Alligator mississippiensis: one gene and its partners. The protein of the gene in region 3 interacts with the protein of the main gene of each other region in a pairwise test. Links are inferred from orthologs where the notes say so. Each region holds a gene or a part of one and is shown on either strand. Other genes may lie near its edges. The genes, in order: CFAP206, FBXW5 and ADAMTSL4.

Region 1 (3,743 bases), on a different chromosome or scaffold from region 3:
CAGTGGGTCTGTGCACAGCCCCTGACTCCCTGTGCTGCTCTGGGAAGATGGCTGTAGTCTGTGCCGCACTACAGGGTGTGGCATAGCATGTTCCAGCCCGGGGCTCCACAACCCTTGGCCAGGACTAGGTGTATGTTATCAGTTAACGGTTTAACCAGTATACTTAGAGGAGGTTAAATGGATAATTTGTAAACAATATTTACATCCCTAGTTGCCATGGGAGGGTAGGGGGCAGGGAGAAGCAGGGACAAGGAAAAGCAATGGTGGTGGTGGCAGCAGCCAGGTTGGGACAATGACTTCGCTCAGACATGAGCCAGGTTGCCCCAGCTCACAGCTGCAAAACTCTGCCGCCATAGATCAATGAGACTAAACAAGAGTGACTTCACACGTATTTATAACTGTTTACAGTAATTGGTGCCATTGTGCACTATAGAGTCCTATGCCCAGAATAAGCACTTCACAAAAACTCCTTTATAAGTATATCAAATCAATGAAGCTCTTGACTACAACACGTCACTTCTAGCTCTACTGAAGCTCTCTTCTTCTGAGCATTAAGGCCAAGGAATTTTAAGTCCTTTGCTTAACATCATTCATTGCAAGTAGTCTCAGAGACACAGGGGGTGTTACAGCAAGTAAAATTTAAATCTTTGCAGGATCAACGTCTAAAAAACAGATCTAGATGACTAACTATAGACACCCAAGTATAAAATTTAAGAGCGATATGCTCAATTGCTAAATCTTTGTACCTGCTCATTGAAAATGTCACTAATCTCAGAGGGATGTTAACATGATCCAAATAATGCTAACAGGTTAATGCATGGCTAAAATACTCATTTTGCTCTTACCATGAAAGCCACCAAGGTTTCAGGCACAGTTTGTCCTTTGATGGCACATTCTTGTCCTATTTCACGGATGATGTTCTTAATGACACTTTCAGCCTCAGCGTGAGCCATTCTAGACAAACAGCACAGTAACAGGTTTCATCATAATACACGACAGATGCGTCTTTCATCATCTCTTTGTCCCACCGCAACCTTTACTGAGACTACATGTTTTCTGCAAGACCTCTCAGCCTTCCAAGTGTTTACTAACAGCTTGACAAGGCAGCGGAGGTGATTTACAGTGCAGTGGCACGCAAGCAACAAGAGTATTTCCAAGCGGAAAGAAATTGTATGAAAAACAAAATGCAAAAGGGAAAATATACAAACGTAGCATATAAAACAATTTTGCCTGCCTCTCTTCATTATTCTTTTTTTTTTCTGTTCTCCCATTCTCCTTCTTTCCATTTTCAGTTGCTTGGAGCGGACACTGACCAGGGACCAACACACTGCCCTTTATTATTATGTAGTGAGTATTCTGATTAATTCACTGGGAGGAAAATGTTCTTATTTTGGGAAAAAATATCTCTGAACCCCACACAAAATCTATTTAAGATGAAAATGGATCTATTACAGGCCTGGCAACCTTTTACTGCCATGGTCCACTGCTAGTAATCTGCCCTGCACCATAGGCCACAAACCTCGAGAGCATGTGCAACCGACATCCCCTTCCATGCCATCCCAGACCCCAACAACAAGGGAAGGGCTCTGGAGGGGACAGGGAGCACAGGGCAAGACTGGATCAGACATCCTGCTGTCACCTGACAGGAGAAATCTCTCTCATCCTGTGTGACCAGGACTAGGCCCTGTGGTTCACACCAACATGGGCCAGAAAAGGAAATCACTTGGTGGCATTTCTGAAGGCAGCGGAGGTTTCTGCAGAGCTGGAGAAACGGGGAATCTCACTGGAGCCTCTGACAGCATCCCTGACAAGTGGGGGGGGGGGTCTATCACGAGGGGCGAGAAGGGAGCGCAGAGTGGACATGATCAAAAAAGTCATGATTCAGGCAACATACATCAGGCTAATGCTATACTAGCAGAAGTACAAAATTGCAAAGTCCCTATGGCTCTCCTAGCACCTGATGTAGAGGCCTTTGATTGTGTTTCCTAGAAGCACTTTTTTTGCGCATTACAGAAGACGGGATTTGGTAAAGAATTCATAAGGTGGATACAGCTGTGATACACAAATCCCATTTCAACTGTTTGACCCAATAACACTTATCTGACCATTGCCCTTACGGTGTCAATGGGCAACTTGACACAGTTGTCCATTATCCCCCTTCTACTGGGTGCAACACTGGAACCACTGGCCGCAGCTGTCACGAACGAGGGGATATGAGAGTCTTTGAGGCATAAGTAATGAACACCAGCTCCTGCTGTGTGCAGAGGAGGCGCTAACACTTCTGTCACAGGCTCAGAGGAGCTCCTGCCCTCTGAGCATTAATACAATTACAGTAATCGACCTGGCTATAAAATTAATAGAACTAAAATGTAAATGAGGGCGAGCCTGCGCTCCCCGCCACCCCCACAACTACGCCAGCAGCCGCTGCGCATGCGCAATGAAAATTTCACCCCCCCTGCGCATGCCCCGGGCTGGGAAGGTATCTCTGCGCACGCGCAGCAGGGAAAGCTCCGCGCGTGCGCGGAACCCCGAAAGCAGCCTCTTCCAATGCAGGGGGCGCTTTGCTTCACACTGGCCACGCGGACAGCTGCTGGGGGGGGCGGGGCAATCCAAACCGGCCCGGGGGTCGCGCGCAGGTGCCCCCTTCCCCAATCCTAACCGCAGCCCGGAGAATCCGCGCATTTACCCGCCTCCGGCCCCGCCAGGACGCGCCGATCTGGTGTTGTCATGGAGACAGAACGCCGCGGCGCCTTGGGGGCGTGGCTAGGCGGGGGGAGGGCGGCCCAGCGCTCTGTGCTGAGCAGGGGCTAAGAGCCAATGGGGCACCGGCAGGGGGCGGAGCCAAGAGGTGGTGGCAGTGGGCGGTGCCCGCGCTCTGCAGCTGCCTGGTAGAGAGCAGGGCTGAGGGCGGGCGCAGGCAGGTTCCGCTGCAAGCGTTTACTTGGTCTCGTTACAGATCTCGCCTCTGTCAGGAGTTCTGCATATTTCCTGCAGTTGAAGCGACACAGTGGTGGGCTACACCTTAGCTGTTGCCTCACAGGAGAGGGGGGAGGCATCGTGGGCAGGGCGCTGATGATAGCCCTCAGAAAGGCAGACAAGGTGTTGGGGATCGTTCAGAGGGAACTTGTGCACAAATGTCATCCTGCTCCTTTATAAATCCCTGGTGCGTCCACACCGTGAATGCTGCTGTGCCTAGTTTTCATAGACGTTTGGGCTGGAAGGGACCTCATAAGATCATCAGGTCCAGGCCCCTGCCCAAGGGGCAGAAAGTCAGCCAGGGTCAAAGGATCCCAACAAAATAGATACCCAAATGTTTCTTGAAAGTGTCCAGCGTAGGTGCTTGCAGCTCTGGGCCCCTCGCCTCACAGAAGGAGAGAGGAACTAGAGCCAGGGGCCAGAGAAGGGCCGGGGGGGGGGGGGCGCTTCCACATGAGGAGGGAGACCAAAGAGGCTGGGTGTGGCCAGTTTAGAAAAGAGGCTTGAGGGGGGCTGTGATGAGGGTTTACGAAATAGAAAATGGGGTTGAGAAAGTAAGTAGGGATTTATTATTTGGTGTCTTAATACAAGGAGAAGGGGTCAAGAAAGGAAACTAGCAGGTAGTAGGTTTAAAATTAACAAAATGAAGGTCTTTCACCAGCATGTAATGAAAGTGAGGGAATCATTTGCTAGGGACCTACCTAAACTGCAGCAGTAGTTCCTGGCACAGCAGTGCCTGTAATCTTGCTCTTGCGTGTGGCAAAAAG
Region 2 (3,743 bases), on a different chromosome or scaffold from region 3:
GGCCTCACTATACTAACCAATCAGATCAGCTCCCAGCAAAGGAAAGGGAGGAGGAGGAAGAAGAGGAAGATCAGGGTACAACAGCTTGACAGAAGTTTATACAGCTGGAGTCAAAGCTTGAGCCTACCTCACTTGGTACAAGTGAACAAACAAATCAGCCAGTACAAGAGCCGGCTACTTCTTTACCTTAACAGTGCAGTCCTTGGAGCAGGATGCAAACAGGTAGCCAGAATGGGAGAAGCTGAGGTGCAAGACCTGGTCACTGTGCTCCCTGAGGGTCTGTACTTCAACGCACGGGATGGTGTCATAGAGTCTCTGGAACTCATCGTACCAGGAAACAGCGACTGCAACACACAAGCCGAGACATTTGGGAATCGGAAGGCAGCAAGGAGGGGATGGGGGTTAGCCACAAGCAGAGGCCACGGAGTTGGGTGGCTTTGCCTGTAGCAGTTACAGCGCACAATTAAAGATACCTGACCTGGGTGCCGCGGCACTTCCCGAGAAATCCGGTAGTATCGATAAAATAGTTCCTTCCACAAGAACTCATCCCGGGCCACTGCGTGCCACTGCCGACACACCAGTGTTGCTGAGAGCACGTCTACGTGGTCCAGGTAGAGGAAGATCTCATAGAGGACGCTGTCAGGGAGAAGGGGATTACCCCCAACATCCATAGTGTCATTCTGTCACCAAAGGACTCTGGAGAGACACAGGAATGCAGTTAGTTTCCACCAACCTGCCTAGCATATCATTAGGGAGACACTTGCCCAGAACAGGGAGGCTGCCATGCCTGAGCAAGCACGCTCACAGGCAAAGCAAGCAATCGCGGCTTCTCACAGGCAGAGGCAAATGTACCCACTTTAAACAGTCATGTTTCCAATTGCAAACACTTGTCAGGAAAACAGCATTGGTGGGCTGGGGAGGGCAGTTTTAAACTAAACCTGAGACCAGTTTTCTCTTCACTTGCCCTCATGCAGATGAAGCTTTTTTGAAATAAAGAAAAAAGTTCACACATGTGGCAGCCCCCATGGTCCTATGTCTGGAGGCACATGAACACGAAGCATCGGGCACGTGCCTGACTTCAGTCCTGTGCACAGTGACCCCCAGTGCGGTCCACCAGCAGGACTTGAAAGCGAGACCTTCAGCATGAAAGCAGTGAGCTGAACCACGTGAAGCACGGAGCTGAACAAAGGGTGCAAACGGAGGCAGCGTTGATGCCTATAGGAAGCTGCCTAGTGGAGCGGTTCGGCGGGTCTGCTCCTACAGCCACGTCCTCGTAACTCTAACGCCATCTTGATCACAGTTAACATTAGTGACGCTGACCACTTGCAGCTCCTGTAGTGACAGAGCATAGCAGCTCACACGCACCCCCCAAAACAGCTCCTCCTTCCCTTTTAAATCAGTGGACAGCTAATAGGCTTTGGCTGTGGACCGCTTCAACACCAGCCAGTCGCGCAGCGCGCAGACCAGGCACAGGGGAGCACGTACAGACCGAGCTTGCTACGCTGCCACTTTCCCTGGCGAGCGCGAGAGGTCTGCGGCCTGACACTGAGCAGCGCGTCCTGCTGTCAGCCCGCAGCAGCGCTGCCTACGGACCTGGCACCCAGACTCCAGCACAGCTCAGACGTTTGGGATGCGTTTGCTCTGCCAGGAGGCGAGGAGCACACACTGTGTTTACGAAATGCGCTACGCGTCTCGAGCCCCACGGAGAAAGCGCCAGCAGCAACTGCTGCTGCTCGACGCGCCGATCCTTTTGCTCCAACACTAAGAGGTGAATCTCGGTGCAAGGCTGACGGCCGGTGGGGGCCGAGAGCAGCCGGGACCCCAGCGAGGCCGGTCGTGTCGCCGAGTCCTGGGGAAGCAGCAGCAAGCTCTGGCCCTGCCGCCGGGGGCACTGGAGGGCAACCGGCCGCACCCGCAGCCTCCCCGAGTGCCACCGCGACCCCTGCCCCTGCCCTGGCCTGCTGCTCTGCTTTCTGCCCCTGCCCCGCCCCAGTCCGGCCTGCCGCTCCTGTCCCACCCGCCGCTCTGCTTTCCGCTCCCCTCCCCGGCCTGCCCCGCGCCCAGCGAGCGGCCGCCGCGGGCAGGCACCTGCAGGAAACCGGGCTCCGGGCGGCCGCGCCCCCGGGGGCCGGAGCCGGCGCGAGGAGCAGGGAAGCGCGGGGGTGCTCGGACCCGGCGCCGCGTCTACACTAGGGTCCCGGCTGGCCCCGCCCTCACGCGGCCCGGACCATCTCAACCGGGGGTGGGGGGGCAGCCTCGTGCACCGCCCTCGCCCCGATGGTACCGCCCGCCCCACCCCCGCGAGACCTTCTCCTCTCCTGCTTCTGCGCTCTGCCGCACGCCGCTTCCGGCCCCTCCCGCCTCACTTCCGCTCCGGCCTGTGCTGGCCGCTCTAGCCCCTCTCTGTGCTCCGCAGCCACGCCCCATCCCCTAGGCCTAACGGCTTCATCCCAGAGCGCCGCCCGGCCAGGCCTGGCGAGTAGAGCTCGGCATCATCCGTTTCTCCAGTCACCTCCACGTGTTCCTGCCCCTCTGCGGGAGGTGTCGCGTCAGGCGGGCGCCCGGCGCCCAGCACCCTCTACCCCGCGTCCAGCACCCAACACCTAGTGTCCAGCACCCTCTACCCCGCGTCCAGCACCCAACACCTAGTGTCCAGCACCCAGTACCCACTACCCAACATCCAGCACCCAGCCAGCCCTGGCGCTGCTGTGTTGGGCTTGCCCCATAGGTGATGCTTTATGCAAATGAGACCTCGGTATGCAAAATACTTTGCATTGATTAACCGGGAGCTAATAAGAGCCAGCACATGATCCTTCCCGGAGCTGCACCCCGTGGCAGGGAGAACCAGGCTGGCGCCCAGCGGCGAAATGAGGGCCCTGCTCATTGCCACTGCACCAGCGCTAGGAGCCTGGGAGCTGTCAGGAGCTGGCCAGGCTCATGGAGTCGCAGCAGGGGGTTTGGGCGCATTTAGCCCCGCCCTGCCCAGAGTACAGGGCTGCACCTGGATCCGTGGCAGCCCTTCCTCTTGCTGGGGTTAATAGCAGTTGTGCATCTGCCTGCGATGCCTGCTACATGTTACATCTGTGACACAATGGACAGGTGAATCGTGTCATAGGTTTAGACCAGCCACACATGTAAAGTGATCCTCACACCATCAAAATGACTCCAGATCCAACCACCTAAGAGTCAGTGGTTGAAATTGTAGTCCGCAGGTTTGTCATTACCCTAAAATAGAATAGTTTTCTGAAAGCATACTGTTAGGTTTACAATAATTTGGATTTTTAAGAAGTATTAGCTTTACAGCTGAATACAAGGCATGACCTGTGGCCTAGTAATGCAGCTGACCACAAGGCAGAATGATAGCTAGGCCTTTGCTTGTGTCAAGTAATCATTTTAACTGCAACAAGCATTTTCTGAGTTAAAAAGTGAATCTGTGTCTGTGCGCTAAAAAAAATCAGCTACAGCAAGAAGTAAGATAAGACAGAGAAACCATTGTTTTGAGCTTACTGGTTGTGTCCTTGAGAAGTATCTTCTACTGTGTAAGGTTTTGCTAACATAATGTTACTGTTACTTAACTTTTAGCTTTTCAAAAGTGCTAGTTCAGCTTAATAGAAATATGCTGTTACAAAGATTTGTAGAGCACCGCCCCAAGTATTGCTTTTTGTTAACCATATAGTCTTGCTTTGTTGTAAGAAGTATAAAAGATCGCCTCACCCTTGAGGGGGGGCCATTTTGCCTTTTGC
Region 3 (3,743 bases):
TTGGCTGGGGAGGGGGGCACCAGATCCCAGTGTTTGTTGGGGGGACACCAGATCCCGGGGAGGGGGGGGATCAGATCCCGGTGTCTGTTGGCTGGGAGGGGATCGGATCCTAGTATTTCTTGGCCGGGGGGCCAGATCCCAATGCCCCTCGGCCGGGGGATCCGGGCGGCTCTGCCCCGCGGGGCCCCGATCCCGGCCCGGGCAGGTCGCGCACACGTGGCAGGTGCCGCCGAGACACCCGCGCCCGCCGGCCGGCCCCGATCCCGCTCCCGCTCCCGCTCCCGCTCCCGCCCCGGCTCTACCTGCTGCTGCCGGCGCTGCCCGGGCCGGCCGGGCGCGGGGTCCCGTCCCGGGCTCCTGCCGCCGCCGCCGCTCCGCCTCCTGCCGCCCGCGCTGCCCCGCCGCGGTGGGCTCGTCCCGGCCCCGGCCCCGGCCCCGGCCCGGCCCGGCCCGGCCCCGCCCCGCCCCGCCCCGCCCCGCGGGCGGCTCCCACGGCCCGCACCGGCACCGCCACTGCCTCTGTGCCGAGAAGACCCCGCGCTTGGGGGACACACACACACTGACCCACAGCTTGCACACCCTATCTGACACACTCTCTATACTTTCTCTCTCCAAAGAACGCACACGCGCACACACTCACACGAACATACAGCTCTACAGGGAACACACACACAACATACCGGAGACACACACACTCTGTACAGGAGAGATGCACAGACACACACACAGTCTACAGGGAACACACACACCTGTGCACACCCGCATCAATACCAATCTACGGGGAAGACACGTGCACACACACTCTGTACAGGAAAGAAAGACACATGCACACATGAACACACAGCTTTACAGAGTACACACACACAACATACACACGGGAGATGCACACGCTGTCTCCATACAGGGGAGATGCACACACACACAGTCTACAGGGAATGCACACACCTGTGTACACACACATCAATACCAAGCTACAGGGAAGACGCATACACACACTCACGCACACACACACACACACATGCACACACAGATCGACAGGGAACACACCTGACCCCCAGCTACAGGGAGCACACACAATCTGTGGGGAAGACCCCCCAGCCTACAGGGCAGACACACAGTCCCCCCATGAATAGCCCCTCCCGGCAGGGCCCAGCTGTGCTGGCTCCGGCCTTTCCTGACCTGCCCCGGTCTGGAGGAGGCCCCGGCCCAGCCCTGTCCCTGGTTCTCCCCAGCCCCATGGAGCAGATCAGGCCCAGGGCTTGTCCCAGCTCGCGTGGTGCTGCTTGGAGGAACCAGGAGACAACCCAGGCATCCGGGCTCCCACTGGGAGCAGAGGCAACCTGCGGCTTTGCACTGGGCAGCACAGGGCCCAGCTGGGGCAGGTGAAGTGCCACCGGGGCAGCAGCAGATAGACGAGCGCCCCTTTGAATCCAGGTGCACAGAGGAGCAGTTGGAAACGATTCATAAACCCTCAGCCCAGATCCCCCCACTCGCACTGGGTCTCGCAGAGCAGCTTCTCGCCCCCAAGCCGTCAGTGCTCTTATCCCCATTTCACACCTAGGTCAACCGAAGCACGCAGCAGGGGACAGAACTGGATCGAGCTCACTTGGCAGACTGGGGGGAGAAATGAACCCAGGTATCCGGCAGCCCAGTGCTCTGCTTCTCACGGGCACAGGAGAAAGTTACCCCTGGGGTGGGGAATGGCAGCACAGCGGTGGACAGCACGGGGAGCAGAGAGCAGAGCAGTGCATTGGGCAGGAGAAGGGCATTGGAGTGCCACTCAGGGTGGGCAGGGGTGTTTGCGGCCCACCTGCCCCCCACTGCTCCAGGGCCTGGGAAACCCCCCCTCCAGGGTCTCTGGCCTCTCCAAGGAACCAGCCCCTGGCCCACGGGGTGAGCGTGGCAGGTTATTCACTTGGCAGGGGTCCTGCAGGCGCTAGCCAAGACTGCGGCTGGAGCTGCAGGCCCCATGCAGGGCAAGAGACATCTTCCAAAGAGCTCCCCATGGAACCAGGCCAAGTAACATGCTCCCAGCCTGGTGACACCCAGATCAGACCCCCTTCTTGGAGGTCCCTTGAGATGCACTGGCTGCTGGGCCCGGGATCGCAGCCCTGCCGGCCCCACGGTTCTCCCCAGGGTCATGAGCAGCTGGGGGAAGGCCAGGAGCACGATGGCTTCCCAGGTGCTCTCTGCTCTCCCCTTCCCGCCGGCCCCTGGCAGCCCAGATCGGAGCAGGAACCTGAAACCAACCATCTCCCGATGGCAGAGATGCAGCTCCCTGGGCTTGGCATGAACTGCTGGCACCAGCCCAGGCCTGGCTCTCATCCCCAGCAGGCCAGGCTCCCCCCCACGCCAGGGGGCTGGAAGACAGGGGCTCAAATACCCCTTTTTGCCCCCTGATGCCATCCAGGGACCTCATCCCGGGTCTCCGCTAGAGCAAGGAGACCCATATCTGCTACTAACCTGCTGGGTGGCCTTGGTATTCTGCTGCCTGTGCCCAGCCCCCGCAGAAGCTAATAACCGAACATCCCTTGGGACCCCCAAGATGAGACGCGTGGATGGTTGGGGTTCCCCATTACCGTCTGGCAGGACCCGGCTCCTCTCTGGGAAGCATGAGATGCACAAACTCCCAAGCAGAGAAGGTCGGGGATGCTTTCAGTTGTGTGTTGGGGGGGGAGGGGAGAATAAAAGTCCTGCGTCTGTCCAGATAAGGGGGATGTTGCTATCAAGCCAGAACATGGCATTTTGGGACCGTGCCAGGTTGACCTGTTTGAAACGCTCTGAATTTTCCTTTCAAAGAGCCTTTGCAAAATAAGCCCGACCGTCCAGCAACTCTAACGCTGCAGAGAGTTAAAAGAAGGTCGCGCCGGGGACAAAAATGTCTCTGTCTTTATCAGCGACATGTTTCAGTGACTTCAAAATTCCTCCTTTTATCCCCCACCTCCGCTGCCCACCCCTAAAACACACATACATGCACAACGGGGCCATTTTCTGCCCACCTTAGAAGAAAAATCTGCAATCCCCAATTTCCAGAAAAGCGGGAAAAATCCAGCATCTGCTTGATGAAGAGCAACCTCAGCTGAGCCTTTCCCCACCGAGGCGCTTAGAAGTTTGCTAACTCCAGATGTTCCTTTTCAGCTGTTTTTTTTTTAATTTGGAAATAACTTATTGCTCTGTGGACGCCATCCAGCTGAACGCAGCAGTGCTGGTCTCTTACTATCCAGTTACTCTGCTGTATGAGGCTGGGGTGGATCGGGGCAGGGGGTGCATTGATGCCGTGCACCCCAAATTTAAACCAAACTACCCGGCCGTAGAAGTGGCATTTCTATTTGGGGAGTCACAACTTCTTGACTCGTTGGGCTCTTCCTTCTCAGCATTTCATGACATGTATTAACGACCCTCGCTCTTTTTAAACTGTCTCGATGCTCCGCTAATCAAGCTATCTGCTCTCCTGCAGTTCTGCCGCCTGTTAGGTGCTCCTGGGAACGGAGCTCTTATTTCGCAGCCCAGCTGACTGGTTTTTACCTCTAGCTCAAAACACAAACTGAGACGTGGGGACAAAGTTTTAGTAAAGCTCTGGACATGCTCTCAAAATGTATTGTTTTTGCCTCTGTTGCTGGGTTTTTTAAACACCCGGGGTATGATAGAGCAAATTAATGACCTTTCCAATAAAGAGGCCTGTGAGGTTCTTTGGGAAAATGTGATATCTTTTACTTGAGCAGCTAAATATTTGGAAAAATTGT

What was found.
Region 1: the proteins of ADAMTSL4 (region 3) and CFAP206 interact in binary tests that used the Homo sapiens proteins (3 or more experiments, as listed by UniProt). The two-hybrid records come from large-scale screens. The link is inferred for Alligator mississippiensis from reciprocal best matches to the Homo sapiens genes ADAMTSL4 and CFAP206.
Region 2: the proteins of ADAMTSL4 (region 3) and FBXW5 interact in binary tests that used the Homo sapiens proteins (3 or more experiments, as listed by UniProt). The two-hybrid records come from large-scale screens. The link is inferred for Alligator mississippiensis from reciprocal best matches to the Homo sapiens genes ADAMTSL4 and FBXW5.

Annotation. Positions count from the first base shown.
Region 1 is NC_081824.1:75,399,426-75,403,168, reverse strand, and holds the start of CFAP206 (cilia- and flagella-associated protein 206), read right to left. Parts: upstream 2,777-3,743; 5' UTR 2,683-2,776; coding exon 2,660-2,682; intron 2,421-2,659; exon of another isoform or gene 2,118-2,420; intron 955-2,117; coding exon 846-954; intron 1-845. UniProt on the Homo sapiens protein: Essential for sperm motility and is involved in the regulation of the beating frequency of motile cilia on the epithelial cells of the respiratory tract. Required for the establishment of radial spokes in sperm flagella.
Region 2 is NC_081835.1:50,641,414-50,645,156, forward strand, and holds the start of FBXW5 (F-box/WD repeat-containing protein 5), read right to left. Parts: upstream 2,396-3,743; 5' UTR 2,308-2,395; intron 2,302-2,307; exon of another isoform or gene 2,089-2,301; intron 697-2,088; 5' UTR 672-696; coding exon 479-671; intron 345-478; coding exon 187-344; intron 1-186. UniProt on the Homo sapiens protein: Substrate recognition component of both SCF (SKP1-CUL1-F-box protein) and DCX (DDB1-CUL4-X-box) E3 ubiquitin-protein ligase complexes.
Region 3 is NC_081838.1:19,041,733-19,045,475, reverse strand, and holds the start of ADAMTSL4 (ADAMTS-like protein 4), read right to left. Parts: upstream 2,599-3,743; 5' UTR 2,464-2,598; intron 415-2,463; exon of another isoform or gene 303-414; intron 1-302. UniProt on the Homo sapiens protein: Positive regulation of apoptosis. May facilitate FBN1 microfibril biogenesis.